Macaca fascicularis: one gene and its partners. The protein of the gene in region 2 interacts with the protein of the main gene of each other region in a biochemical or structural test. Links are inferred from orthologs where the notes say so. Each region holds a gene or a part of one and is shown on either strand. Other genes may lie near its edges. The genes, in order: CSTA, CTSB and CSTB.

Region 1 (9,589 bases), on a different chromosome or scaffold from region 2:
GTGGAAAAATTGCCTTCCACAAAGGTGCCAAAAAGGCTGGGGACGGCTGGTGTAAGAAGAGTAGGAACTGAGACATCCTGCTGGAGGGAACATGGTGGTGGGAGGGATTGAGGAACTGAAGAGAGATTTACATTTGTGGGGTTTCTAGAAAAAGACCAACAAATATGACTGAAAGTATGTTCTGGCATTCCTGGGTCCTGTCCAGGTTGTTCAGCATTAATCCACAGGTTTGTAATGGGTGAGTTTTCTGTGGTTCTGCACCTCGCTTTGGCAAAGTTCTTTGATTCTGGAACAGTAGTAGCTGCATAGAAAGTGGTGGCAGTGGGCGTGACCTTTAATTGAGAATTAGAAAGCTAGGAGCTCCCAGGGTCAAGGAAATCATCATGAGTGGAGGAGTATCTGAAGCTATCCTCCTGTCATGGGGTCCAGGCTGGATGAGAGACTGAGTGGGCCTGGGTGTGTTATCATGAAGATGGGAAGGTAGGTGCCTGAAGGATTCTGGTGTGGCTGAATGGCAGGTTCTTTGGGTGTGGGACAGTGGGAGAGGCGACTAATGAGGAGGCTGTGGTCAGAGAGGGGAATGCAAATTTGTGGATGGGGTTAGAGCCATGACATACTAAGTTCCAGGGTGTGCCCAGGATGGTATGCAGATGAGGTGTTTGTGTGGTGTCCTGACCAACAAAAATCATGCTCTGTGTGTTAGCCAGGAATAGTATTTAGCAATTAGGTTTATGACTAAGGGGAGTGTGTGTGTGTGTGTGTGTGTGTGTGTGTGTGTGTGTGTGTTCATTGTGTGCATGCACATTGCATGTATAACCCTTCTAAAAATAATTAAATAACATTTCTTTCCTTCTCATAAACATGCTCAGAATTCTCATCAAACGCTCATTAACATATTATATAGATAATGAATCAGCAATAATGATCTGGAGGCTTTTGCTGTTGGGCCATTCATTTATTTGGTTCTTCATTATACAGATTGTGGCTTTTCATGAATGGGATTATGTATGGCTCTGTCTTTCTGGGATGTGTCCCTCTTAGATCCATTCTATTTTATAAATTTCCACAAGGGCAGGCACTATTTTATGTCCCTGCTATCCCCATAGCAGTTCACACAGTTCTGTCTACCTAACCAATGTTTTCTGAATGAAAAGACCACAGTTGTTTTCCATCCTGACAACTTGTCTTCCCAAATAGGAAAGATGAGTATAGCAATGACCTCAGCTAATACAGAGAATCTTGGAAGAGGGTTTTCTTCCAAGTGTACTTTAGTACATGATGCTACAATGACATGTTCAGTCTCTGTTATTTTCAGAATGGGAAAACTCATTTCTCCTGCCTTCGAAAACTTTCAAGTTTTCTCAATTGCCATCCCCTTTGTTTGCCTTTCTTTTCTTTCTGCCCTCATCCAATATTCCTCTTTCACTGTGATATCAAATTCCTTGACCATGCAGTTAACATTTGTCTTTGATACTCTTCCCTTCTCTATGTGATGTCTTTTTCTTCTTTCTCTCCTTCTAATGGGGTTCTTCAGTTGGCCTTCCACTAAGAAGCTCTCTGAGAAGGCCAAGGAAAGCTGATAAACTTCAGCTCCTCTGAGAATACTTGCACTTTAACAGGTGATTTTAAAAAACACAAATACAGGGCCAGGCGCGGTGGCTCACGCCTGTAATCCCAGCACTTTGGGAGGCCAAGACAGGCGGATCACGAGGTCAGGAGATCGAGACCATCCTGGCTAACACGGTGAAACCCCGTCTCTACTAAAAAATACAAAAAAAAAAACAAAAAAACAAAAAAAAACTAGCCGGGCGAGGTGGTGGGCGCCTGTAGTCCCAGCTACTCGGGAGGCTGAGGCAGGAGAATGGCGTGAACCCGGGAGGCGGAGCTTGCAGTGAGCTGAGATCCAGCCACTGCACTCCAGCCTGGGCGACAGAGCGAGACTCCGTCTCAAAAAAAAGAAAAAAACAGAAATACATTCAAAAATCAAAAAGTAAAACTAGCAAGTAAGTGACAGGTAGTGGAGATTGTCCCTGAATTGCCAGCACCTACCCATTTTCCCTGTTCCTGCATGGGGACCTACTGTAATTTTGGAGAAGGAATTGACTCAAGTTTCTCACCTATAAAGTGGTTGTAATAACACTTGCCTCTTGGGGCTGTTTGTAGGGGCATAAATGATATAAATGATGTGAAAGTGCTTCCTAAACTACAACGAGTTTTCCAACTCTTCCTCTACCTTCTAACACTGAACTGGAAATTGTGCCCTAAGGCTCACTCCTGCAAGAGAGGGCAGATAAGTGATAATCCGGGCTTTAACACGGGAGTAGCTGAACTGCCTCACAGTAATTATTTACCTGAAAGGAAGGAGGTTTGACCAGCAATCTCTAACATCTTTTCTGGTCCAAAACCTATGATTATGAAAAAGTACTTAATTGGATATTGTTTTATATACTGTTCCAGATATCTCGATTTTTCCCAACTACCGTATAAACTGCTAGAGGCCAGGGGCCATATTTTACAGCCCTTATGTAGCTTCTATAATAATTAGCATAACGCTAGACACTTAGGAGATATACAAGAAATGCACCAACCATGAAATGATTCACTGATATTCATTTCCTATATTTATTTATTTATTTATGTATTTTTTTTAGACAAAGTCTCACTTTGTTGGCCAGGCTGGAGTGCGGTGGCGTGATCATGGCTCACTGCATCCTCAACTTCCTGGGTGCAAGTGATCGTCTCACCTAAGCCTCCCAAGTAGCTGGGACTACAGGTGTGTACCACCTGGCTATTTTTTTTTTTTTTTTTGTATTTTCGAGGAGGTAGAGACAGAGTTTTGTCATGATGCCCTTGAATCCCCCAGATCAAGCAATCTGCCCGCCTCTGCCTCCTAAAGTGCTGGGATTATAGCCGTGAGCCACCGCACCTGTCCCTCTAATGATTAAAAAAAAATTTTTTTTAACTTTTAAATTTTAAGATTTTTTTACTTTTTGAGATGGAGTCTCGTTCTGTCATCCAGGCTGGAGTGCAGTGGCACGATCTCGGCTCACTCCAACCTCCGCCTCCTGGGTTCAAGCGATTCTCCTGCCTCAGCCTCCTGAGTAGCGGGGACTACAGGCGCCCATCACCATGCCCAGCTAATTTTTGTATTTTTAGTAGAGACGGGTTTCGCTATGTTGACCGGGCTGGTCTTGAGCTCCTGACCTCAGGTGATCCGCCTGCCTTGGCCTCCTATATTGACTTAAATTTGAGGCTGGTGCTTCCACTGAGAAGACAAACTTAACACACTCTCTCCACTCAGTGTATTTCCCTTTCCTAACAAAGCTCCTCTGTGTTCTGCCACTGTGTGGTGGAGAGTGCAGGCAGTCAGACACTGGGGGTGAGCTAACTTCTTAACTAGGTGACTCTTTTTTTTTTTTTTTTGAGACGGGAGTCTCGTTCTGTGGCCCAGGCTGGAGTACAATGTTGCGATGTTGGGTCACTGCAGCCTCCGCCTCCCAGGTTCAAGTGATTCTCCTGCCTCAGCCTCTGGGTAGCTGGGATTACAGGCACCTGCCACCACGCCGCCTAATTTTTGTATTTTCAATAGGGATAGAGTTTCGCCATGTTGGCCAGGCTGGTCTTGAACTCCTGACCTCAGGTGATCCGCCCGCCTCAGCCTCCCAAAGTGCTGGGATTACAGGTTTGAGCCACCTTGCCCAGCTTAACTAAGTGACTCTTAATCTCTTTAAGTCTTGGTTTCATCATCTGTAAGATAGACACAATACCTTCCCTGCCTGCCCCAGGGGTTATGAAGATGAAATCAGAGTTTGAATGGAGGTCAAGCTTTTTAAAACTGCAAAGCTCCTTTCTGGGGTGAGGTAGCTGTTCTTAATGTTTATCTCTCATTCTACCTCTCTGATGACATTTGAGCCAAAGGGAAGCAGCTTCCTCTCTGCCACACACACACTTTCAAATCAATTTTATAATTTAAAATGGGACTCACAGATAGGTGTTATTAACAATGCAAGGCCCTCTGGTAGCTTCTTATTTTAAAAATTAATAATTATTGCTAATCAAGTGATAGATTTTTAAAAAAATCATTAAAATTTTCTGTACTGTCTCTATTTCAAATTTATTTTTCCCTGTCTTTCTACAGCTCTGGTCCTTAGAGAGTCTCAGGGGGATTTTTTAGGATCAGGGATGCTTTCAGCCACAAATTTGAAGCAAACAATTGTGATGCTTCACCTATGCACATTTGTTTTTCATTTTCAAGTTATTTTTATGCACATTTTCTCACTTAGTCCTTACAGCTCTGACATCGGTAGGGCAAGAGGTGTTACCTTCATTTTTCAAATGAAATAGACAAATTTTATTTTGGCACCCTGACTTTCTTTTTTGAGGTAGGGTCTTGCTTTGTTGCCCAGACTGGAGTGCAGTGGCACTATCTCAGCTCACTGCAACCTCTGCATCCCAGGCTTGAGTAATTCTCCTGCCTTAGCCTCCTGAGTAGCTGGGATTACAGGCACCTGCCACCACTCCCAGCTACTTTTTGTAGTTTTAGTACAGACGGGGTTTCACCATGTTGGCTAGGCTGGTCTCGAACTCCTGACCTCGTGATCCAACCGCCTCAGCCTCCCAAAGTGCTGGGATTATAGGCATGAACCACCACACCCAGCCTGCACCCTGGCTTTTAAAGCGCCATCTCCCCCTGGCCTTGTAGGATGCCATACATCTCTGATTCTGCAGGCAAGTGAGGCCATGGGTGGCAGCAGCAGCAGCACTTGGGAGTCTGGTAGAAATGCAGAACCTCAGACCTCCCCCAGGCCACCTGAATCAGAATCTAAGGTTTATCAAGACCTGCAGGTGATTCATGTGCACATTCAAGTTTGAGAACATGGATCTGATCTGCGGATTCACATGAAGAAATTACTGACTTAATATCATCTCCCAGAAAAAAAGCTCCAAGATATTTATTTTTAAAAAGAACGCTTGAAAGAGAAATAATTAGTCCCCAAGAATGAGTGATGGGATTCTAGGCATCTGGCCCCTTAGAGAGCTTTCTAGTTCCCTGAATATACAGGATCCCAACTCTTATAATCACACAAAAGCTGATCTTGTGTTCCACACTGTCATGGAATGATGTTTCAGAGAGAAAAAACAAGAAGGAATAATACAAGAAAATAAGGTAACAAACTAAAAACCTAAAATGGTAATTTGTACATGTTTTCCTTCATAAAATATGCAACTAAATGTTTACTGCATAGCTAGATGATAGCTAATCACACAACACTTAGAAAAATATATCAGGGCCGGGTGTGGTAGCTCACACCTGTAACCCCAATACTTTGGGAAGCCTAGGTGAGTAGATGGCTTGAGCCCAAGAATTCAAGACCTGTCTGGCAACAGAATGAAACTCCATCTCTAAAAACAAAATAAAACCCCCAAAATCAGCCAGGCATGGTGGCATGAGTCTGTAACCCCAGCTACTCAGGAGGCTGAGTGGGGAGGATCGCCTGAGCTGGAGAAGTTGAGGCTACAGTGAGCCATGATCACACCATTGCACTCCAGCCTGGGTGACAGAATGAGACCCCATCTCTTAAAAACAAAACAAAAAAGAAAAAGAGAAAAACATATCAATCCGCTAATAACATTGAGTTCTATTTTTCCGTATATAATTTGGCAGCCTCTGACATTTTGGAGTCACTTTAGACTATCACTTCTCTTCTCCATTAGCTGAATCACCCTTTAACTCTGAAAAGACTAAAACACTGTATATTTGGGCATAAGTGTATGAAATTTGTAAATAGATTGCCTTTACAATATTATTCTTCATTCAATCTATTTTTTAAAAATTTCCCTGCAGTACATTCCAAGACTACTTCATCAAACTGTTAATAACCTTACACTTCAATTACATGTTGGCTTCACTTGGTGAGATTAGAAAAGTTGTATCAGAAACTGAATTAGTAATGCTAGAATCATATCTAGGATTGAGCTTTAGAGATGATACAATACAAATTCTTCTTTTACACATGGAGAAAATGAAGTTCAGAGAAGAAATGTGATTCACTCAAGGTCACACTCACAGTTTGGGGATTATTCGAGGTTTCATCTGAAAACCTCTTATTTCATCTTAGTTGTAAAGAAACCTGAACAAAGTCACACACATCCTAAACTTCTAGTTTTCATGTTCAGCCACATCCTTTCCACCAGGACAACTTATGAATCAAGATTTTGGCTCAGACTTTTTCCTGAATGGCATCAACTCACCTTATCAACAATCTCCTGGATTTCTGGAGTGGCGGGTTTGGCCTCAGATAAGCCTCCAGGTATCATTTTGGCTGATTGCTTCTTTGCTGGACAGGATGCTGGAACCAAAGTGAATAGGGAAGTGTGGAGACTCGTGTGTTAAAAGAGGCATTCACTAGCTCCGCCTATAGAATGCTTTATTTTCCAGAAATAGCAAAGAGGCATGGGGAAAATGAGTATGCCTCCAAGCAAGTCTTCTTGCTTCCTGGACAGAATATGCTACATGGAATTTGGAAGAAAGAGGGGTTGGAGGATGAACAAACAGGCAAGTATAGGAGTCATGTCCTAACAAGCATCAAACATCCCCGCATTCTCTTTGACAATGGTTCCATCCTGTTGCATCATCTGAATTATGAAATCTGAAACTACAACTAGAATTTCCAAATGTTTTAAAACTTCTAACACAAAATTTTATTTTTTTTAAAGCAAAACTTACTAATAATGTCAAGGTTAATTTAGAATTTACTTGACTTTAGAAAGAAAGCAAACCGATCTATCTGGAGGACCTGGGCTGGATGTGTCTTCTTTACTCTTATTTAAATATCTGGAGATGTTTAACATACAGAAAAAACACAAAGAATAAAATAACAAACATCTATATTTCTATCACTCAGAGTTAAAATTTTTAACCTTTTTGTCATGTTTGCTTGCTATCTTTTATTTTGGTAGTTATTTTTAAGAAATAAAATATTACAGATATGGAGGAAGCCCCACACTCCACATAACCTTGCTGTCCAGAAGCAAAGTACATTGTGAATTGATATCCTTCCAGGTCATTTTTATACGTTTACTTGGTGTGTTTTTAAAATTTCACTTAAATTGTATGCTAAATATATTCTATGTTATGCTCCTTTTTCTCTTCAACATGTTTTTGAGCCTTTCCATGTTGATATACACATAGATCAATCCACAGATGGATCAATCCTGTTCATTTCCTTTAACCGCGATATGCTACTTTATGCTAGACCTATCTATTTAGTCTACCTATCTAACTGCTATATACTAGTTCATATTTTATATACTCATTTCCCTACTGATGATGATTTTGGTTGTTTCTAGTGTTTCATTCTTACAAACAATGTTGCATTTTTTCCCCTTTTGTACGTAAGTGAGTGCTTCTGCAGGCAACTTATCTAGAAGCAAAATGACCACGTTGTCTGAATATTTATGTATATTATATTATTCAATTTTGGGAATATATAATACATACACAAGATAAAAATGTTTGAAAGGAACCAGGCTGTACAATATAAGGAATTATTCACTCACTTAATGAGTGAATACTTTCCAGAGACAACTATTGGCACCAACTTCTTCTGTATCCTTCAGAGACATTCTATACACATACAAATATAAAAATAATTGGAGGCTGGGCACGGTGGCTCACGCCTGTAATCCCAGCACTTTGGGAGGCCGAGGCAGGTGGATCACAAGGTCAAGAGATTGAGACCATCCTGGCCAACATGGTGAAACTCCATCTCTACCAAAAATACAAAAATTAGCTGGGCATGGTGGCATGAACCTGTAGTCCCAGCTGCTCGGGAGGCTGAGGCAGAAGAACTGCTTGAACCTGGGAGGCAGAGGTTGCAGTAAGCCAAGATTGTGCCGCTGCACTCCAGCCTGGCAACAGAGCAATAGTGTGTCTCAAAAAAAAAAAAAAATAATAATAATAATAATAATTGGCTACACACACATGCACATACACATAGATAAATATACATCTATATAGGTTTTCTTTTATAAAAATGGTATTCTATATAAATGATTACACTTTTTGTTTTATTCCTAACAATATATTTTGGAGATTGTTCTATATCACAATACAGGGAGGTGCTTGTTTCTTTATAATCATGTTTGGTAGGTGCTTGGCAAATTCTTGGAGCTAGGTGAGTGTCTTATGGGCTAAACTAAGGGGCGCTACACAGGTAATCTCTCCACAGAATGCCTTTACCCTGTGGATTAAGAAGAACAGCGAATGTGGATGACAAGGTTCTCCCTCAAGAGGCCACAGGTCATCTGAAGATTTTGGCTCAGCTTTCATAGGCCACTGGTTCTACTCATCTTCATGTGACCTCCCCAAGTCAAGTCCTTTCATATTTAGGCCCCTGACATTTTTCCAAGCCTGCAGCCCATTTTTAGTTGTTCACTTACATCCTAGTCCAGGCCATCCTTATTGAATCTCCCCAGTGGTAAGGGATATGATAAAAAGCAAGTCTACTCTTCTCTTTTTGGGGTCTATGCCCTGTACTTTCAGCTCTTTCCTATTGATTCTCAATAATTTATTGTAGAAGTAAAAACTTCCCCAAAGCAAATATTGCTTTTGTCTTTTGTATTCCTCCTGTAACTGTGGGGAAAAGAAAAAGAGATCAGACTGTTACTGTGTCTATATAGAAAGAAGTAGACATAAGAGACTCCATTTTGTTCTGTATTTGAGATGCTGTTAATCTGTGACCCTACCCCCAACCTTGTCCTTGCAAGAGACATGTGCTGTGGTGACTCAAGGTTTAACGGATTTTGGGCTGTGCAGGTTGGGCTTTGGTAAACAAGTACCTGAAGGCAGTATGCTTGTGAAAAGTCATCACCATTCTCTTAATCTCAAGTACCCAGGGACACCTACACTGCCAAAGGTCCATAAGAGGAAAGAAGGTCTCTTGACAGTTGAGATAGAGAAAAGCATCTGTCTCCTGCCCATCCCTGGGCAATGGAACATCTTGGTGTAAAACCGGATTGTATGTTCTGTTTACTGAGAAAGGAGAAAACCACTTTAGGGCTGAAGGTGGGACGTGCTAGCCGCAATGTTGCTCTTTATGCACTAAAAAGTTTTATGGAGATGTTTGCATATGCATACCAAGGAACAGCACTTTTCCTTAAACTTATTCATGTCACAGAGATCTTTATTCATATGTCTTACTGTTGACCTTCTCCCTACGATGATCCTATTATCCTGCCACTTCCCTTTTTCTAAGATGGTAAAGGTAATGATCAATAAATACTGAGGGAACTCAGAGACTGGTGCCCGCGTGGGTCCTCTGTATGCTGAGTGCCAGTCCCCTGGGCCCACTTTTTCTTTCTCTATACTTTGTCTCTGTGTCTCATTTCTTTTCTTAAGTCTCTCATTCCACCTAACGAGAAACGCCCACAGGTGTGGAGGGGCAGGCCACCCCTTCATCTGGTGCCCGACATGGGTGCTTTTCTCTAAGGTGAAGGTACGCTGGAGCGTGGTCATTGAGGACAAGTCAACGACAGACTCCCGAGTATGTCTACAGTCAGCCTTGCGGTAAGCTGGTGTGCTCGGAAG
Region 2 (9,742 bases):
TAGAATATTCACGGCCGGGCGCGGTGGCGCACGCCTGTAATCCCAGCACTTTGGGAGGCCAAGGCAGGTGGATCACGACGCCAGGAGATTGAGACCAGCCTGGCCAACATGGTGAAACCTCATCTCTACTAAAAATACAAAAATTAGCTGGGCATGCTGGCGGGTGCCTGTAATCCCAGTTACTCAGGAGGCTGAGGCAGGAGAATTGCTTGAACCCGGGAGGCGGAGGTTGCAGTGAGGCGAGATCGTGCCACTGCACGCCAGCCTGGATGACAGAGCAAGACTGTCTCAAAAAAAAAAAAAAAAAAAAATTCATATTAGCCCCCAGAGAAACCCCACACCTTTTAGCTGTCACCTACCTAACCTCCCATGTGCACTCCCCCAGGCTAAAGGCAATTATGAATCTAGTTGCTATCTATAGATTTGCCTATTCTGAGGATTTCATGGAATCATACAACACGGGGTCCTTTGGGCCTAGCTTATTTTACTTAGCAAATGTTTTCAAGGTTTATCGATGCAGCGTGTGTCACTACTTCATTCCTTTTTACAACGGAATAATAATACTCCATTTGGTGCATTTATGACTGTTTATTCATGCAATGGTTTTTAATGGATGGACATTTGAGTTGTTTTCACCTTTTGGTTATTGTAAATAATGCTGCTATAAATATCTGGTGCAAGTTTATATATATATGTGTTATTAACTTTTGGTGTAGAGATGGGGGTCTCACTATGTTGCCCAAGCTGGTCTTGAACTCCTAGGCTCAAGCAATCCTCCCACCTCCGCCTCCCAAAGTGCTGGGATTACGGGCGTGAGCCCACTGTGCCTGGCGGATTTTTGTGAGGACATATGTTTTCATCTCTTTCAGGTGTTAACTTGGGTCTCTTTTACAGATGTTCAACAAGCAAACAGCTTTTACACATGTAAGTCAGGTCTCTCTGTAAGTTCTGAGAGCTGTTCCCCAGGCCCTGAACCCTGATCCCCAAATCTAGCAGGTTAAGCCAAAATTCTCCTCAACTTCAAGGCCTACTTCATTCATTACACATCCACTCAACGCACATTTCTCCATCCTCTGCTATGGGCCAGACAGGCTGCAATGTGCTGGGATGAAGCGGGGGAACAACACAGGTAAAAATCCTTGCCCAGGTGGCGCTTAAGATCCAGTGAGGGCAGGAAGGAACATACACAAGTAAATATGCTGTACGTTCCTTTCTCCGTGAAGCTTTCCTAGATGTCCCAGGAAGGGATGAATTCTACTCTGGTAGTCATTTATTTCTTTTATTTTCTTTGAGATAGAGTCTTGCCCAGGTTGGAATGCAATAGCGTGATCTCAGTTCACTACAACCTCTGACTCCCTGGTTCAAGGGATCCTCCTGCTTCGACCTCTTGAATAGTTGGGATTATGGGCATACGCCACCACACTCAGCTAATTTTTATATTTTTAGTAGAGACGAGGTTTCCACCATGTTGGTCAGGCTGGTCTTGAACTCCTGACCTCGTGATCCGCCCGCCTCAGCCTCCCAAAGTGCTGGGACTACAGGTCTAAGCCACCATGCCCAGCCTATTTCTTTTCTTTTCTTTCTTTCTTTTTTTTTCTTTTTTTTTTTTTTTTTTGAGAGGGAGTCTTGCCCAGGTTGGAGTACAATGGCGTGATCTTGGCTCACCGCAACCTCCACTTCCCAGGCTCCAGCAAATCTCCTGCCTCAGCCTCTCAAGTAGCTGGGATTACAGGCGCATGCACCACCACGCCCGGCCAATTTTTGTATTTTTAGTAGAGACTGGGTTTCACCATTTGGGCCAGGCTGGTCTGGAACTCGTGACCTCAGGTGATCTGCATGCCTCAGCCTCCCAAAGTGCTGAGATTACAGGCGTGAGCCACCACACGTAGCCTGTTTCTTTTGTTTCAAGAGTTATTTTTACCTCTCAAAAGTGATTTATGTGACACTGATAGAAAATTCCATCAAACAGCCATAATGCATATCAAGCACTCTGCTCTGCATACCTTCTGTCACACTCTAAGGATGCGAGAGGGGAAAGAGTTATGCTGGTTCTGGCTGTGTCCTCCCCATTTTGGCTATCTTATGAGCTCTTTATAGAGGTCTGAAATGATTTGACTTCCATATGGAAGACAGCATGCCCCAGCACTGATTTGGAGTCTGGAGTCCATGGCCCTCAGGATAGGGCTAGGGTGAGCAGGCAGTTGGGACCACCTTGACCTCCAGCCTTCTGGTCTTCAGTTCCTTGGGTATCCCACTCCGCTGGGGGCTTAGTGACCATGTTTGGGCTCCAGAGATTATTTTTTCCTTCCACTCCTATCCTTAGTCTGGTACTAACCAGGCGGGAATACAGGTATGACTCTGAAGACCCTGGCAGGCTCAGGGCTGTGTGACAGCTGACGACCCGGCTGCAGGGAGCCACGTCCCTTGGAGTCCTACTGCCTTTTTACTGTCGCCACAGCCTGGATAAAATACGATGATTCTTCTGAACTTTTTTTTTTTTTTTTTTAAGGCAGAGTTTCACTCTTGTTGCCCAGGCTGGAGTGCAATGGCATGATCTCGGGTCACCGCAACCTCCGCCTCCCGGGTTCAAGTGATTCTCCTGCCTCAGCCTTCCGCGCCACCACGCCCGGCTAATTTTGTATTTTTAGTAGAGCCGGAGTTTCTCCATGTTGGTCAGGCTGGTCTTGAACTCCCAACCTCAGGTGATCCGCCCGCCTCGGCCTCCCAAAGTGCTGGGATTACAGGCGTGAGCCACCGCGCCCAGCCTCTTTGAGCCTCTTGAATACAGGGGTCATGCCTGCCTTGCAGGTTTGTCTTTAGGATTAGAGCTGTTTGGGGAGGGTCTGGAGGAGGGTGTCTTGAGCCAACCCCAGCATCTCCCCTCCAGGCCCTCCCGCTAATAAACCCCAAGTAAATGTTCACTTTGTCAGTCCTCTCGGAGCAGGTCTCCCGGGACTCCTGTGCCAAGCCGATTTCCGCCCCCCAAGGTCCTTCTCCTCCTCTGTAGAAATCCTGACGCAGCTCCTAGGTTCCTTCGCGGTGACAGCCACCCTTTTCTATTTGTACGTAGCTGGAGTGTTTTGTGGGTACGTTCTCAGAACAACAAAGTGGAGCGTTTAAAGACTGTTCTGTAGGGTCCACAGCCTCGCCACCCCCAGCCCCTGCAGCGGCTTCTGATGAATGAAATAAGCGACGGCGCCCTCTCCCCCACCCCGCCCCCGCCAACCCGGCAGGCAGGGATCCCCGGCGCCGGTTCTGGCGGAAGCGGTCCCGCGAGGCGGGGGGACTTTTCTAGGTGGGGTGGGGGCTCTGGGACCACCTTTCGGGGCTTTTTCCCCATCCCCTGGCCCCAATTCGCAGCGTTTCGCCACCCAGGGCCCGCAGGGCTCCAAGCCCCTCTTCCCCAACCCGCGCGCTCAGGCCCCCGCCCTCCCCGGCGGTGTCCCCTGACCCCCGGCGGAAGGGGTGGGGGGGTGCGGGGCCGGGAAGAGGGGAGCGCGGGCGGCGGAAGGTGGCGGGAGGAGGTGGGGGCTGGGAAGCGGGGTGCGCGGGCAGCGGGAGGGCACGGGCGGGGCTGCGCGGTAGTCACGTGGCGCAGGACCGGGAGGGTACTTAGGGCCGGGGCTGGCCCAGGCTACGGCGGCTGCAGGGCTCCGGCAACGGCACCGGCTCCGCGGCGCGCAGGCTGGGCTGCAGACTCTCGGCGGCAGCGTTCGGTGAGTGCCGGGGGCGCGGGGTCACCGCGGCGGAAGTGACCTTGGCGGGGACGGTGCCACCGGCCGCCGAGACGGGTTCTTCTGCGTCCCCGGTCGGGCCTAGGCGCGGCCCCGCGGCGTTCCTGGGGGCAGGTGGGGAGCCAGGACCCTCGGGACTGACCCTGACTGGCGGGCTGGGGTGGGAGCCCGCGCACTCCGAAGCGTCGACAAGAAAAGCAGAAAACAGCCCCGCCGGCCCGCCCGCCAGCCCCCTCCCCTCTGCTCCCCTCCCCGGCCTGTGCGCGGGACCCCGGCCCCCGGAGCGGGGAGGCGGCCAGGAGCCCCGAGGGAGGCGCCTGCGAGGAAGAGCTCGGCTAGGTCCGGAGGCTGCTGCCTGGGGTCGCGCTCCCAGCGCCTGGGCCTCGGTGTCCCCGGGACAAACTGCCGAGATTATCGCATCTGCCGGCATCTATTTTCGGTTTATTTCCCCCTCGTTCCAAAGGATTTGCCTGGCCAACTTTCTGCGCAAGATCCCACACAATTCCTGGGACCCCAGAAGACAGGTCCTGTTGAACAGGGATCTGGCACTGGGTGGGCTGGGGAGGAACCCGCACGGAGTTAAATCCATAAACAGGAAGAGAAACCAAGCTGCGAAACCAAGAGGCGAATGGGCGATTGGATGCCGGGTGGGGAGAAGGCCAGGGACGCTCCCTGCCCCCTGGACTCCAGTAAAGGGAAGCCGGGCAGAGTCCCTGGGGCCCTACCTCCCCCTCGGTTAGTAGCCCTGGAGGCCGGGGGGAGTTGGCCTCTGGGGAGCAGTAGGTGCCTGGGTGTGGGGCGCTGCAGGCAGGCTGGGGTGGGTGACCCAGCTGGAAGTGAATTGCACTTGGCTTCTTGGTGGGCCTCTGTCACCCCCTTCCCCAGGCATCGAGGAAGCCAGCAGGCTGGCAAGGAAAAGGATCCTAGCGCAGGCCCTACACCCCTCCTCCTAACGGAGGAGAGACCCCCAAACCCACTGGAGAAGCGATGCTGTGGGGCTCAAAGGCAGACCTGGCACGTTTTTGTAGCCTAGAAAAACTGATCCCCACTGCCTCCCGCCGGAGGAGAGGATAGCTGAGATGCACCCTCTTTCAGTCCAAACGTTCAGGAAGGTAAGGCGAAGAGGCCTAAGAGGGCGTTGGCTTGGTTAAGGGCTGCTCTTTCTCTTCCATAACATCGGTTCTTTTTTTTTTTTTTTTTTTGAGATGGAGTCTCGCTCGGTCTCCCAGGCTGGAGTGCAGTGCCGCAATCTCGGCTCACTGTAACTTCCGCCTCCCAGATTCAAGCTATTCTCCTGCCTCAGCCTCCCGAGTAGCTGGGATTACAGGTGCCTGCCACCACACCCAGCTAATTTTTGCATTTTTAGTAGAGATGAGTTTTAACCATGTTGACCAGGCAGATCTCGAACTCCTGACCTCAGGTGATCTGCCTGCCGCGGCCTCCCCATGAGTCACCATGCCTGGCCTGGCGGAGAACTGTTTCTTCTTGGTGATGGTGACTTAGAACCCGCCAGCTCCTGGAGAAAGGGGCTGGGCCGCCCACCCTGTGTAGCTTTCCCAAAGACAGAGTCAGACGTCTCCTGGAGAGCAGAGGCTTCTCCTTTTTGGTCATTTGTCCCGGAGCTGGGGTATCCCCTGGTGGAAAGGCACAGGTCTCTTGGCCCAGGTGGCAACGCAGACCAGACACGGCCCTGGCACAGCTCTCGCCCCAACAGCTCTCCTGGATGTTGGCTCAGGACAGCCCTGTTGTCAACTGGTCAGGCGGCGAGGGGTGGCAGCCCTTTGGCTCCAGGTTGAAGCGGCCCATGTGGTGCTGATTTAGCAGTTTGGTGAGGCTCTTCTCCTAGGCAGCTTCTTTTCTTTCCCTAGCTGCGGGACCTGGGAGTTGGAAGATAAGTTGCACCCATTTTAGGGGTAACAGATATTTTCTGTTGCTCTTGGTTGGATTGGGAAATGAAGGGAGATCACGTTTCAGGGGTGCCTTGGGATGTCTGTCGGTGATGCTCTCTTTCTTTCTTTCTTTTTTTTTTTAAGACAGACTTTCCCTCTGTCGCCCAGGCTGGAGTGCAGTGGTGCACCCTCCACCTCCCAGGTTCAAGCAATTCTCCTGTCTCAGCCTCCCAAGTAGCTGGGATTGCCGGTGCCCATCACCACACCTGGCATTTTAAAAAATTATTTTTAGTAGAGACGGGGTTTCACCATGTTAGCCAGGCTGGTTTTCTAACTCCCACCTCAGGTGATCCGCCTCAGCCTCCCAAAGTGGTAGGATTACAGGTGTGAGCCACCACGCCGGGGTGGGGGTGATTTTCTTAAATCTGTTAATGAGTTATGGTTGTGTAGAATAATATACCTTCCTTTCGAGATATGGACTGAAACATTGAGAGGGAGGAGTTACAGGTATGCCACTTCTTATCCTTTTCTCTTTTTTTTTTTTTTTTTTTTTGAGGCGGAGTCTCACTCTCTCACCCAGGCTGGAGTGCAGTGGCAAGATCTCAATTCACTGCAGCCTCCGCTTCCTGTGTTCAAGCAATTCTCCTGCCTCAGCCTCTTGAGTAGCTGTGATTACAGGCATGCGCCTCCACACCCAGCTAATTTTTGTATTTTTAGTAGAGATGGGAGTTTCGCCACGTTGGCCAGGCTGGTCTGGAACTCCTGACCTTGTGATCTGCCCACCTCGGCCTCCTAAAGTGCTGGGATTACAGGTATGAGCCACTGCGCCCGGTCTGCTGCCTCTTTTTGATGGCCTGGTGTAAGGAAATTATTGGAAAAATGTGCTGTTGAGTGATATTTACTGGGCACTTCCACATGGTACATGTAAAGGGAGATGGTTGGGGTGGCAGGCAGTTGAGTCTAGGGGAGGCATGTACAGATGTGTTGTGCCTCTGGGACATCAGGGTGGCAGGCAGCAGTCTCTATGTCTGGTCCCAGGCTGCCTGAGAAAGAGTGTGTGGGAGGCAAACCTTGCGCCCTGGCATAGTTGTTAAAGTTTATATTTACCCTAGCTTGTGTGGGGTAGGAGGTTTAGGGATCAAATTTCACTCTGTGTTTAGACTTTTTTTTTTTTTTTTTTTTTTTGAGACAGAGTCTCACTCTGTCACCCAGGCTGGAGTGCTGTGGCACAATCTCCCAGGTTCAAGCAGTGCTCCTGCCTCAGCCTCCCGAGTAGCTGGGATTACAGGCATGCACCACCACGCCTGGCTAATTTTTGTATTTGTAGTAGAGACAGGGTTTCACCATGTTGGCCAGGCTGGTCTTGAACTCCTGACCTCAAGTGATCCCCTGCCTTGGCCTCCCAAAGTGTTGGGATTACAGGCGTGAGCCACTGTGCCCAGCCCTGTGTTTAGACTTTTAACTAATCTCGTTTTTAGCTTCAAGCCTTATCCTCCGCCTCTACAGACCACTCCTGTGCCTGTTTACTGGTTCTTCCAGGGGCCATTTTATTCCCTGTCTGCTGCTACTCATTTGAATTCTCCTGCACATTTTTTTGTTCATTCATTCATTCATTCATTCATTCATTTATTGTTTGGTTCATGGCAGGGTCTTGCTTTGTCTCCCAGGCTGGTGTGCAGTGGTGCGACCATGGCTTACAGCAGCCTCGGCCACCCAGACTTAAGCGATATGGTTCCCACCTCAGCCTCCCAAGTAGTAACTAACTGGGAGCACAGGCGGTACCCAGCTTTTTTTTTTTTTCTTTGTAGAGACAGGCTCTCTCTGTTGCCAGGGCTGCTCTGAAACTCCTGGTTTCAGGTGATCCCCTTACCTCCTCCCACTTGGGCCTTCCAAATGCTGGGATTATAAGGCGTGAGCCAACTCCAGGCCTTTTTGTACTTTTAAAACTCTGCATCAGTGTATAAACAACGTTTAAGGGCCGGGCGCGGTGGCTCAAGCCTGTAATCCCAGCACTTTGGGAGGCCGAGACGGGCGGATCACGAGGTCAGGAGATCGAGACCATCCTGGCTAACACAGTGAAACCCCGTCTCTACTAAAAAAAATACAAAAACTTAGCCGGGCGAGGTGGCAGGCGCCTGTAGTCCCAGCTACTCGGGAGGCTGAGGCAGGAGAATGGCGTAAACCCGGGAGGCGGAGCTTGCAGTGAGCTGAGATCCGGCCACTGCACTCCAGCCTGGGTGACAGAGCGAGACTCCGTCTCAAAAAAAAAAAAATAAAAATAAAAAAAAAATAAACAACGTTTAAGTTTATATGACTTCAGTTCCATTACATGGTTCCTTTTTCACTCACGGTTGTGAGATTTATTTCTGTTGATACATCCAATTCTAGTCCATTTGTCTTAAGTGCCCAGTGTGTTTATCTACTGAGGGACAGTTATATTATTTCGTTTTCACTATCATCCCCTGCTACAGTAAATATCCTGTCTCCCAGATGCTTGGAAGAGTTTCTGCAGGGCAAATGCAGGAGAGCTTGTTCTGGGTCCTGAGGTGTGTTCATCTTCCGTCTTGCTAGATGTTGGCAAAGGGTTCTCCAGTGTGGTTGCATCAATTTACACGCCCAGCGTATGCAGAGTTCCTGTTCCTGACATTTACCAACACTAGATACTACCAGACTTTGATTTTTGCCAATCTGATGGATTTGAAGTGGTACCCTTGTTTTAATTTCATGACCAGAAATTCAAATTTAATCTTTGCCATAGGAAAACATTAACCCACTTATGCCTAGTGTTCCATTATTGGAACGCTAAGCATGTGGGAGTTTTTACATCGTACTGCTCAAGGTCATCACCAAGGTCTGATGTTTTTACTCAGCAGCAATTCAAAAAGTTGCAACCTCTGGCATAAATGGGTTAATGAGTGACATTTTTCCTGTTTTTATTGTTGGTCAGTGATGGTGTATGTGCTGGTTTTTTTCTTTCTTTTTTTATTTGAGACGGAGTCTCGCTCTGTCGCCAGGCTGGAGTGCAGTGGCATAATCTCGGCTCACTGCAACCTCCACCTCCCAGGTTCAAGCGATTCTCCTACCTCAGCCCCCTGAGTAGCTGGGATTACAGGTGTGTGCCACCAAGCCCAGCTACTTTTTGTATTTTTAGTAGAGACGGGGTGTTGCTATGTTTGTCGGGCTGGTCTTGAACTGCTGACCTCATGATCTGCCCGCCTTGGCTTCCCAAAGTGCTGGGATTACCGGCCTGAGCCACTGCCAGCCTATTTGTTTTTTATTTTAAATTTTAATTTTCTAAATAGAGATGGGGTCACTATCCTGCCCAGACTGGTCTTAATCTCCTGGATTCAGTTGATCCTACCACCTTGGCCTCCCAAAGTGTCAGAATTATAGATGTGAGCCACTGTGCCCAGCCCAGAACTGATGTTTTGTAAATGCTGGGTGCTGAGAAGGATGTGTGGCTGGCAGTCTTGACTGTGTTATCTGTCTTTACCAGGCCAGTAACTTCTTTGGTCTGGACATCAAGATAATCTAGCATCACCAGCAAGCTTGCGTGGAGGAGGATGGGACCAGTGTGGCCAAGATGGTAACGGGACCAGTAGAGAGCCCTGTAGAAGACATCTGGATATTCTGCCCTAGGAGACCTGGAGGGCTGGGCTGTGTCATGACCCTCTGACCTGCTGACCTGGACTCCGGCAGAATGTGCACACACACAGTCACGCAGCTTCCTGGCTTGCGCAAGTCCTGGGAGGGCGGTGCCAGCCACAGGCTTCTCCCATTGGAGGGTTGGAAGCGTATATCAAACCACATCAGAGTGCTGGGGGCCACCTGCCACCCATTCGCAACCCACCTAGCCCTCCTGGTGTTTGGGGCGCGCTTTGCTTTGGCAGTCAAGACAGCAGAACAAATCAACTTTTGAGGCCTTGTCACTGGGTACAATTGCCATTATTTTTCATCCAAATTAGGATACTTCTGAAAATAGAAATGATGACTCTGGGACAGCAAATTTTGGCTGTCCTATGTATAAGGAGGTAGCTTTTCACCCTCCCAGTGACTGAGGAAGTTTCTCCCAGATGGCACTGCTCTGAGCCTGGTGCGGGGTAGGCACTTGCAAAAGAA
Region 3 (9,639 bases), on a different chromosome or scaffold from region 2:
GCAGGGTGTGGTGGCGGGTGCCTGTAGTCCCTGCTACTTGGGAGGCTGAGGCAGAAGAATCACTTGAACCCCAGAAGCAGAGGTTGCAGTGAGCTGAGACCACACCACTGCACTCCAGCCTGGGTGACACGGTGAGACTCTGTCTCAAAGAAAAAGGCCAGGTGTGGTGGCTCACACCTGTAATCCCACCACTTTGAGAGGCCCAGGACGCGGATCACTTGAAGTCAGGAGTTCGAGACCACCCCTGCCCATGTGGCAAAACTCCATCTCTACTAAAAATATAAAAATTAGCTGGGTGTGCTGGCTCACACCTGTAGTACCAGCTACTTGAGAGGCTGATGCAGGAGAATCGCTTGAACCCAAGAGGCAGAGGTTGCAGTGAGCTGAGACTGCGACACTGCACTCCAACCTGGACAACAGAGTGAGACTCCATCTCAAAAAAAAAAAAAAAAAAACAATTAAATCTAACGTAGTTTAAAAGTACTCTGGGGTCAGGCACAGTGGTTTCTGTCTGTGATACCAAAACTTTGGGAGGCCAACGCCAGAGGATTGCTTGAGCCCTGGAGTTGGAGACTCCATCTCTAAAAAATAAATAACATACAAAAACTAGCCAGGCGCGGTGGCGGGCGCCTATAGTCCCAGCTACACGGGAGGCTGAGGCAGGAGAATGGCGTGAACCTGGGAGGCGGAGCTTGCAGTGAGTCGAGATCCTGCCACTGCACTCCAGCCTGGGAGACAGAGCAAGTCTCCGTCTCAAAAAAAATAAAATAAAAAAATAAATAAATAAATAACATCAGCCAGATGTGGTGGCATGCGTCTGTGATCCTAGCTACTGGAGAGGCTGAGGTGGATCGCTGGGGTCCTGGAGTCCGAGGTTACCGTGAGCGATGACTGCACCACTGCAGCCCAGCCTGGGAGATATGGTGGGACCCTGTCTCAAAAAAAAAAAAAGTGCTCTGGCTGCTGCCTAGGTTAACGGGTAAGCACAAGAGTGTACCGGAGTGACGAAGCCGGTCCCAGAGAATTAGGGGTTTAGTTTAAAAAAAAAAAAAACAGGCCGGGCACAGTGGCTCACGCCTGTAATCTCAGCACTTTGGGAGGTTGAGGCAGGTGGATCACGAGGTCAGGAGATCAAGACCATCCTGGCCAACACGGTGAAACCCCGTCTCTGCTAAAACACAAAAAATTAGCTGGGCGTGGTGGCGCACGCCTGTAGCCCCAGCTACTCAGGAGGCTGAGGCAGGGGAATCGCTTGAACCTGGGGGGTGGAGGTTGCAGTGATCGCTGAGATCGCACCACTGCACTCCAGCCTGGCAAGAGAGCAAGACTCCATCTCAAAACAAACAAACAAAAAGGAAGTGGCAGGAAGCACACCAGTTGGGAAAGAAAGGGAGTCACCCAGTATTACCGGTAGCGGAGCCACCAGGGCAACCTGGCCCAAGGCCCCACCACCTCCCAGCGCCAGGGAGGGCCTTTGCTGGGACAGGCTGGAGAAGAGAGGCCTGGGGCCCTGGCAGGAAAGGCTGGGGAGGTGGGGAAGGGAAGGTGCCCTCCTGCCCCCCATGTTCTCTGCTCAAGGCCGCCATGCTTCTCGCTGCATGGGCACAGTGGCTACCTGTGTCTGGAGACCAAGCTGTGTGCCCCTCTCCCAGCAATGTCCAGTGGGCTTGCGGGGACACACCAGTGTGGCAGCCCTCACCCCCAGTCACTGAGGGCTCAGGTTGTGTCTCGCCCACAGACCCGCCCTAGGGCATGGGAGGATGAGCACTGGCCCCTCTCTTTGCTGTTTCGGGAGCAGGAGCAGCAAAGTCTGCAGGGCATGGCAGGGAAACCCCCAGGAGGCTGTGGAGGAGGCTGTGCACCGTGGAGGTGCTGGTTCCAGGCCAGGCCACCTGTGCAGCGTGGGCACTGACGTGGGCACTGACGCCGCTGACAGGGAGCAGCAGGGGCCGGCCTCTCACCGGGGGAGCCCTGAAAGGCAGGATGAGTTAGAAAGCCGCAAGTGACCGACCAGTCACCTGTGTTGGGGGTGTCGACAGTGGGGCAGACGGGCTGCGAAGGCGCAGGGGTGGCTCTGGGGGAGGGTCCCCCATGCAGTGGCACAGAATGAGGAACTCTGCTGGCCTTAGGGCTCAAGTCAGGCTCTGGTCTCCACCTTCCTTGTCTGCAAAGTATGATAGGAACACTCAGCTCGAGCGCTCCCATAAGGAGTCGGTAAGACAGGGCCCGACTAGGGGGTGTCCAGGAAGCGCCCCTGCCCCTCCCTCCCGCCCTTCCTTAGAGACCACCCGGCAAATGGGCTGCCTGGTTCATACGCCTGCCTTAACGCCCCTCCCAGTAGCCATGGCTGGGCCCACTCAGGTCACTTTTGAGACAGGGACTCTTTTCTCCTGGCTGCAACAAGAACTCATTCGAAGTTCAGAGTGGGTGACAATGCGGGATGTCTTAGGCCTGGAAAGCCAGGAAACGGGTAAGGAAGAGCTGGGTAGGCTTCTATGAGTGGCTGTCGGGGAGAGGAACCACTTTTCCAGGTGCGGCTCCCACAAGCAGCCTGGGCAGGCACCGGCCGGACAAAAATGCCTCATTTCCAAAGGTGTCATGAGACTGACTCATTCTGCCCTTCTTCCTGCAGTCAGATGGTCAAAAACCCTTGAGTGATGAGGCTGTGGGCTGATCACATTCAGGAAGCAGCAGAGGGGAGGAAAGATAAAAGGAGAAAGAAGGCTGGGCAGGGCTCACGCCTGCAGTCCCAGTGAGAAAGAAGGCTGGGCGGGGCTCACCCCCGCAATCCCAGCACTGTGGAAGGGTGAAGCTGGAGGGCCGCTTGAGCCCAGGAATTTGAGACTAGCCTGGCAACATGGTGAAACCCCGTCTCTACTAAAAATACAAAAATTAGCCAGGCGTGGTGGCGTGCACCTGTAGTCCCAGCTACTCAGGAGGCTGAGGCAGGAGAATCGCTTGAACCCGGGAGGTCAAGGCTGTGCCACTGCATTCCAGCCTGGGTGACAGAACAAGACCCTGTGTCAATAAATAAATAAATAAAAATAAAGGAAAAGAAATTTGTTTCCTTTTTCCTCTCCTTACTCAAAACACAGGCCAGACCAGCCTGGCCAACATGGCGAAACCCCGTCTCTACTAAAAATACAAAAAACTAGCCGGGTGAGGTGGCGGGCGCCTGTAATCCCAGCTACTTGGGAGGCTGAGGCAAGAGAATAGCTTGAACCCAGGAGGCAGAGGTTGCAGTGAGCTGAGATCATGCCACTGCACTCCAGCCTAGGCAACAGACCGAGACTCTGTCTCAAAGAAAACAAAAACAAAACAAAAACAGGCCTCGGCTGGGCATGGTGGCTCACACCTGTAATCTCAGCACTTTGGGAGGCTGAGGCGGGCAGATTACTTGAGGTCAGGAGTTCAAGACTAGCCTGGCCAATCTGGTGAAACCCCGTTTCTACTAACAATACAAAAATTAGCCGGGCATGATGGTGCATGCCTGTAATCCCAGCTACTCAGGAGGCTAAGGCAGGAGAATCTCTTGAACCTGGGAAGTGGAGGTTGCAGGGAGCCCAGATTGCGCCACCGCACTCCAGTCTGGGCAACAGGGTGAGACTCCGTCTCAAAAACAAAAAACAAAAAACCCAGGCCTCAGCATCGCCTGGACCTGTTCCTGCTTGGGGCATCCACTTGGTCACCAACTATGACAGGGAGGCGGGCCCGGCCTGTGCTCCACCGGAGGGGCTTCCTGCAGAGGACCTGCTCACTGAAGCCCCTCTAGAATCCTCTGGAAGGTGCAAAGCAACAGGACGTCCATTTTACAGACGAGGAAACCGAGGCACAGGGAAGGTTGCCCTCTGCAACCCAGCCCGGTTTTTATCTTGTTTTTTTGTGTGTTTTAGCTTTTTATTTAGACTTACAGTTTGAAACAGTGTTAGAATCAGAAGCGTGTAAAGAAACCTGTAGACCCTTTGTGCAGATACGCTTAAGTTTTTAACCCATGTGCCTTATCGCTGGGGACCTCTTGCACTCTCTCATGATATTTGCCTGAACTAGTTGAAGATACTGACAAAGATTCTTGCTTGGCCAAACTGTAGTCGGGCTCCTGAAGCGCCTAGGCCACCTGCGCACTTCCTTGTAAAATCCAATTTTAGCAAGAAGCCTGGCTAAGTCCGTTTGGCCAGACCCTCCCCACCCGCTTGCTATCGGGTCACCGTGAAGTTTGGAGCCGGCTGCTCACCTGCGCCATCGCCGGCGACGCCCGATCACCTGAAGCGCCTCATGCCTGGGGTTTCCCCTCAGGGATTGTCCATCCAGGGACCGCACCCTGCTCCGGGGCTATCAGTTGCCACTCGCCCTTGCTGTATTCAGCGGAGCCCAGTGTCTCCCCAGCGCCGACCCAGGCGCGGCCCCCTCCCCTGCACACTCGCACGCAGCGCCCGAGCGGAGGGAGGCCTCTCACGGCCACAGCCCGGCCAGCCCGGGGGTCCAGGACCGAACCCGCCCGCCCAGGTGCGCAGCGGGGCCGAAGTGGCTTCTCCCGCTCCAGGAGCCGCGGCCTCGCCCTGAGGCTCAGGCGGGACCCCGGGCCGGCCCCGTCCCCGGGGCCCACCCACCTGGTCGGCGATGTCCTGGGTCTCGGCGGTGGCCGGCTGCACGGCGGAGGGCGCCCCGCACATCATCTTGGCGGCGTCGGAGGGAACCTGGCGAGGGGACTCGGCGACGGGACGCGGCGGCTCCTCTGCTCAAGTAGGCGCTGCGGTCACGTGACACGCGGGCGGAACCAAGGCGCGGGGAGGGGGGACCTTGGCTTGGGCGTCCCCTGCGGGGTCGCGGTGGCCCCGCAATAAGGGGCGCGCGGGGCGGGGCGCAGGGAAGGCGCGGGGCTGGGAGCCTGGCTACCACGCTCCGCGGGCTCCGTCTCCGCGCCCAGGGCCGGTGTCGGGAAGCAGCGCCCCCCTCCCGGGGTTGGTGTGGTCTTTCCAGGCGCCGAGTCACAAGGACTGGGGCGGGGGCGCGGCCGGGTGTCGCCGGTGGGTTGGGCGCGCAGGGTGGGACCATAGGGAGGGGCAGTCGGAGGGGGAGCCGTCCTGCAGTGTGGCGGGGTCCGGGCCGCGCACGAGGGAGGGCACGGGTGGGGTGGGCGCAGCGCTACAGGGGTCAGGGGTTCCGGCCCTGCGGAAGCAGGTGTGCTGGCTGCTGTGGACATCACCGCTTGTGACCCAGGACACTGAAGGCTGAAGCGGGTGGACAGAGAGGCCCAGGGAGGAGGAGACGCGCCCATGCGCCCCAGGCTGGGTGGGGGCAGGGGTTAGATCAGAGGGATGAGAAGAAGGCAGGGTTCTCTGGTGGAATTGGAATTTGAGTTTTAGGATTTCTTTTCTTTTTTCTTTTCCTTTTCTTTTTTTTTTTTTTTCTTTTTTCTTTTTTTTTTCTTTTTGAGACAGAGTCTCGCTCCGTCGCCCAGGCTGGAGTGCAGTGGCTCAATCTCGGCTCACTCTAATCTCCACCTCCCGGGTTCAAGCGTTCCTCCTGCCTCAGCCTCCCCAGTAGCTGCGATTTCAGGAGCGCGCCACCACGCCCGGCTAATGTTTGTGTTTTTTGTAGAGACGGGGTTTCCCCATATTGGCCAGGATGGTCTCGAACCCTGACCTCATGATCCACCCGCCTTGGGCTCCCAAAGTACTGGGATTACAAGCATGAGTCACCGAGCCTGACCTCTTTTTTTTTTTTCTTTCTTTCGTTCTTTTTTTTTTTTTTAATTTAGGCAGGGTCTTGCTCTGTTGGACAGGCTGGGGTACAGTGGCCTGATCACAACTCACTGCAGCCTGGACCTCCTGGGCTCAATCGATCTTCCCACCTCAGCTGCTATAGTAACAGGCTCACCCTACCACACGCATATACAGAGAGTTTCACCATGTTTCCCAGACTGGTCTGGAACTTCCGAGCGATCTGTCCACCTCGGCCTCTCAAAGTGCTGGGATTAGTGGCATGAGCCACTACACCCCTAATTTTTTTTTTTTTTTGAGACGGAGTCTTGCTCTGTCGCCGAGGCTGGAGTGCAGTGGCACGGTCTCGGCTCACTGAAAGCTCTGCCTCCTGGGTTCATGCCATTCTCCTGCCTCAGCCTCCTGAGTAGCTGGGACTACAGACGCCCACAACCACGCCTGGCTAAGTTTTTGTATTTTTAGTAGAGACGGGGTTTCACTGTGTTAACCAGGATGATCTCCATCTCCTGACCTCGTGATCCACCTGCCTCGACCTCCCAAAGTGCTGGGATTACAGGCATGAGCCACTGTGCCTGGCCTGCACCCCTAATTTCTTTAAAAACTGTTTTTGTAGAGATGGAGTCTCACTATGTTGCCCAGGCTGGTCTTGAACTCCTAGGCTAAAATCGATCCATCCCCCGAAGTGCTGGGATGACAGGCTTGAGCCACCACACAGGCCCTTTGGTTTACGATTTGTGTTAGACTGGACCACCTGGGAAAGGGAGGGGTCGCTTGCCTTATTTGGGGTGGGGGTGGGGCCTGTGCTAGGCACCTATTGGTGTGACTGGCTCTTCAAAATGACCAGACACCCCACCCAAGGGCTGTCCCTCAGGGGGACTGGTCCGCTCCTTGGTAGAAGGCCCAAGCAGGAGCAGCCCATGAATGAGTTGTGGGGGCCTTTCCCTTACCTGCCAGGGCACAGCCTGGTCTGTCACTTCAGGCAGTCAGGTGTGGTTGAAGCCTGGGGGGAGCTGGGCAGAGACCTGCATCATTGTTGAATGAGTGAAGGCAGATTTGACCCCACGAACATGGAAAACTCTTCTATGTGGAAAACAAAGCATCAGAGGAAAAAATGGTCAAGAGAAAGGGATGTCCGCTGCCTGTACAGGTCCTGCGGCTCTGTGGGGCTTGTGCTGTGGAAGGTGTTGGCCTTGAGGCCTTTGGTCCTGAGGTGCCTCCTGGAGTCGGATCCTCACTCTCCAGGCTGGAACTGGGTCCTAGGTGCCTCCATTGTACAAATAGGAGGATAACAGCTGTGGAAATAAACAGAGCCCACGCACATGAGAACAAAAGGTCATTTATTCAGGGCTTGCTGTACAAGGGAGTCGCCATCCTCTCTTGTGTTGACCGAGATTCCTCAGCAGGCGGAGGCAGGGCCAGGGAAGAGCCTGGAATGGGAAGGGGAGGCTCAGGTGCACCTAAGGGAGGCTGTGGCCTGGGAGCCGGAAGAGGGGCTCACTAGGAGTGTGACCACGACAGGTCTCTTGCCCAGGGTGTGGGAAGTCAGCACACTGCCACCCAGGGTTTGCAGCAGACAGTTTGGACCACAAGGCTGTAACTGAGAGGAGACCTCAAATCCACCTCCCTGAGGAGTATGGGGCTGGGGACTTTTAGGGATTTGGAGTGGGCTGAGGGCGGGGGCCGCTGATGGGTGGAGGCGTGCAGGGTGAAGTCATGGGGTGGGGTTGAAGAAGCTGTGTTTTCATGCTGGTTCACTTCCTCTGTGGGGCTCTTCAAGCTGGTTGGCCTGGAATTAAGGATCTGAAACATCTTTTTTTTTTTTTTTTTTTTTTGAGACGGAGTCTCGCTCTGTCACCCAGGCTGGAGTGCAGTGGCCGGATCTCAGCTCACTGCAAGCTCCGCCTCCCGGGTTCACGCCATTCTCCTGCCTCAGTCTCCCGAGTAGCTGGGACTACAGGTGCCCGCCACCTTGCCCGGCTAGTTTTTTGTATTTTTTAGTAGAGGCGGGGTTTCACTGTGTTAGCCAGGATGGTCTCGATCTCCTGACCTCGTGATCCGCCCGTCTCGGCCTCCCAAAGTGCTGGGATTACAGTCTTGAGCCACCGCGCCCGGCCAGGAGTTCTTAAACAAAAGAACAAAAGTCTCATGATTCTGAAGTCAGAGATTCCATCTGTAGGAACAGTGGGAGTGCAGATGGTCACTAGTGCTACGTGACTCTCAGAAGGAAGTGGGCTAAAGTGTAGCCTAACGAACACTCAGTCATCCTTCTCTCCCTGCCTCCCCCCTCCTGCCTCCCCCTCCTTCCCTCTCTCCCTTTCTCCCCCCTCCTTCCCTCTCTCCCTGCCTCCCGCTCCTTCCCTCTCTCACTGCCTTCCCCACTCCTTCCCTCTCTCCCTGCCTTCCCCCTCCTTCCCTCTCTTCCTGCCTCTCCCCTCCTGCCTCCCCCTCCTTCCCTCTCTCCCTGCCTCCCCCCTCCTTCCCTGTCTCCCTGCCTCCCCGCTCCTTCCCTGTCTCCCTGCCTCCCCGCTCCTTTCCTCTCTCCCTGCCTCCCCCCTCCTTCCCTCTCTCCCTGCTTATCCCCTCCTTCCCTCTCTCCCTGCCTCCCCGCCTCCTCTCTTTCTCTCTCTCTGTCTCTTTCTTTCTTTCTTTCTTCAGAGTCTCGCTGTTATCCAGGCTGGAGTGCAGTGGCGTGATCTTGGCTCACTGCTGCAACCATTGCCTCCCAGGTGCAAGCAATTCTCCTGCCTCAGACTCCCAAGTAGCTGGGATTACAGGTGCCACCATGCCCAGGTAATTTTTGTATAGAGACGGGGTTTCACTATGTTGGCCAGGCTGGTCTATGAACTCCTGACCTCAGGTGATCCACCCGCCTCGGCTTCCGAAAGTGTTGGGATTAAAGGCATGAGCCACCACACCCGGCCTGTAACTCTATTTCTGCTGAATGCTCAGTTATAACTCGGTCCAGAACCTGTTCTGACCGTGGCTCCTGTGGCCCCTCCCCAGAAGCAACTCAGTGCAAGAGGACAGCTTCCCATGATTTCATCTCTGACCCACTCGGCCAGCAGCAAGCACCCATTGCCTAGCCACCCCAACCCCTTCCCCCAAACTACCTTTGAAAAACCCTAACCCTCAGGCCTGCGATGAGATTGATTTGAGTAACCACTCCATCTCCCTTGTGGCATGGCCAGCCTCACATCAATTCATTTTATTTTTCTGAGACAGAGTCTCCCTCTGTCTCCCAGGCTAGAGTGCAGTGGCGCAATCTTGGCTCACTGCAACTTCCGCCTCCCAGGTTCGAGCGATTCTCCTGCCTCAGTCTCCCGAGTAGCTGGGATTACAGGCATGCATCACCACGCCCAGCTAATTTTTGTATTTTTAGTAGAGACGAGGTTTCACCGTGTTGGTCAGGCTGGTCTCAAACTCCTGACCTCAGGTGATGAACCCCCCTCGGCCTCCCAAAGTGCTGGGATTACAGGCGTGAGCCACCACACCCGGCAATTAACTTTCTTTACTGCAATGCCATCGCCTTTGTACAGCAGGCTGGAAGAACCTGTTGGGCAGTTCCACCTCGGCCTCCCAAAGTGCTGGGATTACGGGCATGAGCCATCACGCCCAACCATACTGACTTTTACCTCCCATTCTTTGATGCCAGAGTTTTTCATTTTACTAAAGGCAAGGGAGAAAGACTAAATATCTTGTCTCCCCACTTAGAGAATGAAAAAGAAAAAAATTATGAATATTTCTTATCTGAGAAAAGTGAACCCCCTTTTTTTTTTTTAAGACGGTCTCGCTGTGTCACCCAGGCTGGAGTGCAGTGGTGCGATCTTGGCTCACTGCAAGCTCTGCCTCCCGGGTTCACGCCATTCTCCAGCCTCAGCCTCCCAAGTAGCTGGCACTACAGGGGCCCACCACCACGCCT

The links.
Region 1: the proteins of CTSB (region 2) and CSTA form a complex in vitro, tested with the Homo sapiens proteins (3 studies listed by BioGRID and IntAct, with this or other methods). The link is inferred for Macaca fascicularis from reciprocal best matches to the Homo sapiens genes CTSB and CSTA.
Region 3: the proteins of CTSB (region 2) and CSTB form a complex in vitro, tested with the Homo sapiens proteins (2 studies listed by BioGRID). The link is inferred for Macaca fascicularis from reciprocal best matches to the Homo sapiens genes CTSB and CSTB.

What each region holds. Positions count from the first base shown.
Region 1 is NC_088376.1:160,914,585-160,924,173, forward strand, and holds the start of CSTA (cystatin-A), read right to left. Parts: upstream 6,368-9,589; 5' UTR 6,319-6,367; coding exon 6,253-6,318; intron 1-6,252. UniProt on the Homo sapiens protein: This is an intracellular thiol proteinase inhibitor. Has an important role in desmosome-mediated cell-cell adhesion in the lower levels of the epidermis.
Region 2 is NC_088382.1:9,046,457-9,056,198, forward strand, and holds the start of CTSB (cathepsin B), read left to right. Parts: upstream 1-3,231; 5' UTR 3,232-3,295; intron 3,296-3,638; exon of another isoform or gene 3,639-4,846; intron 4,847-6,343; exon of another isoform or gene 6,344-6,435; intron 6,436-9,119; exon of another isoform or gene 9,120-9,742. UniProt on the Homo sapiens protein: Thiol protease which is believed to participate in intracellular degradation and turnover of proteins. Cleaves matrix extracellular phosphoglycoprotein MEPE. Involved in the solubilization of cross-linked TG/thyroglobulin in the thyroid follicle lumen.
Region 3 is NC_088377.1:3,288,712-3,298,350, reverse strand, and holds the start of CSTB (cystatin-B), read right to left. Parts: upstream 4,713-9,639; 5' UTR 4,674-4,712; coding exon 4,608-4,673; intron 1-4,607. UniProt on the Homo sapiens protein: This is an intracellular thiol proteinase inhibitor. Tightly binding reversible inhibitor of cathepsins L, H and B.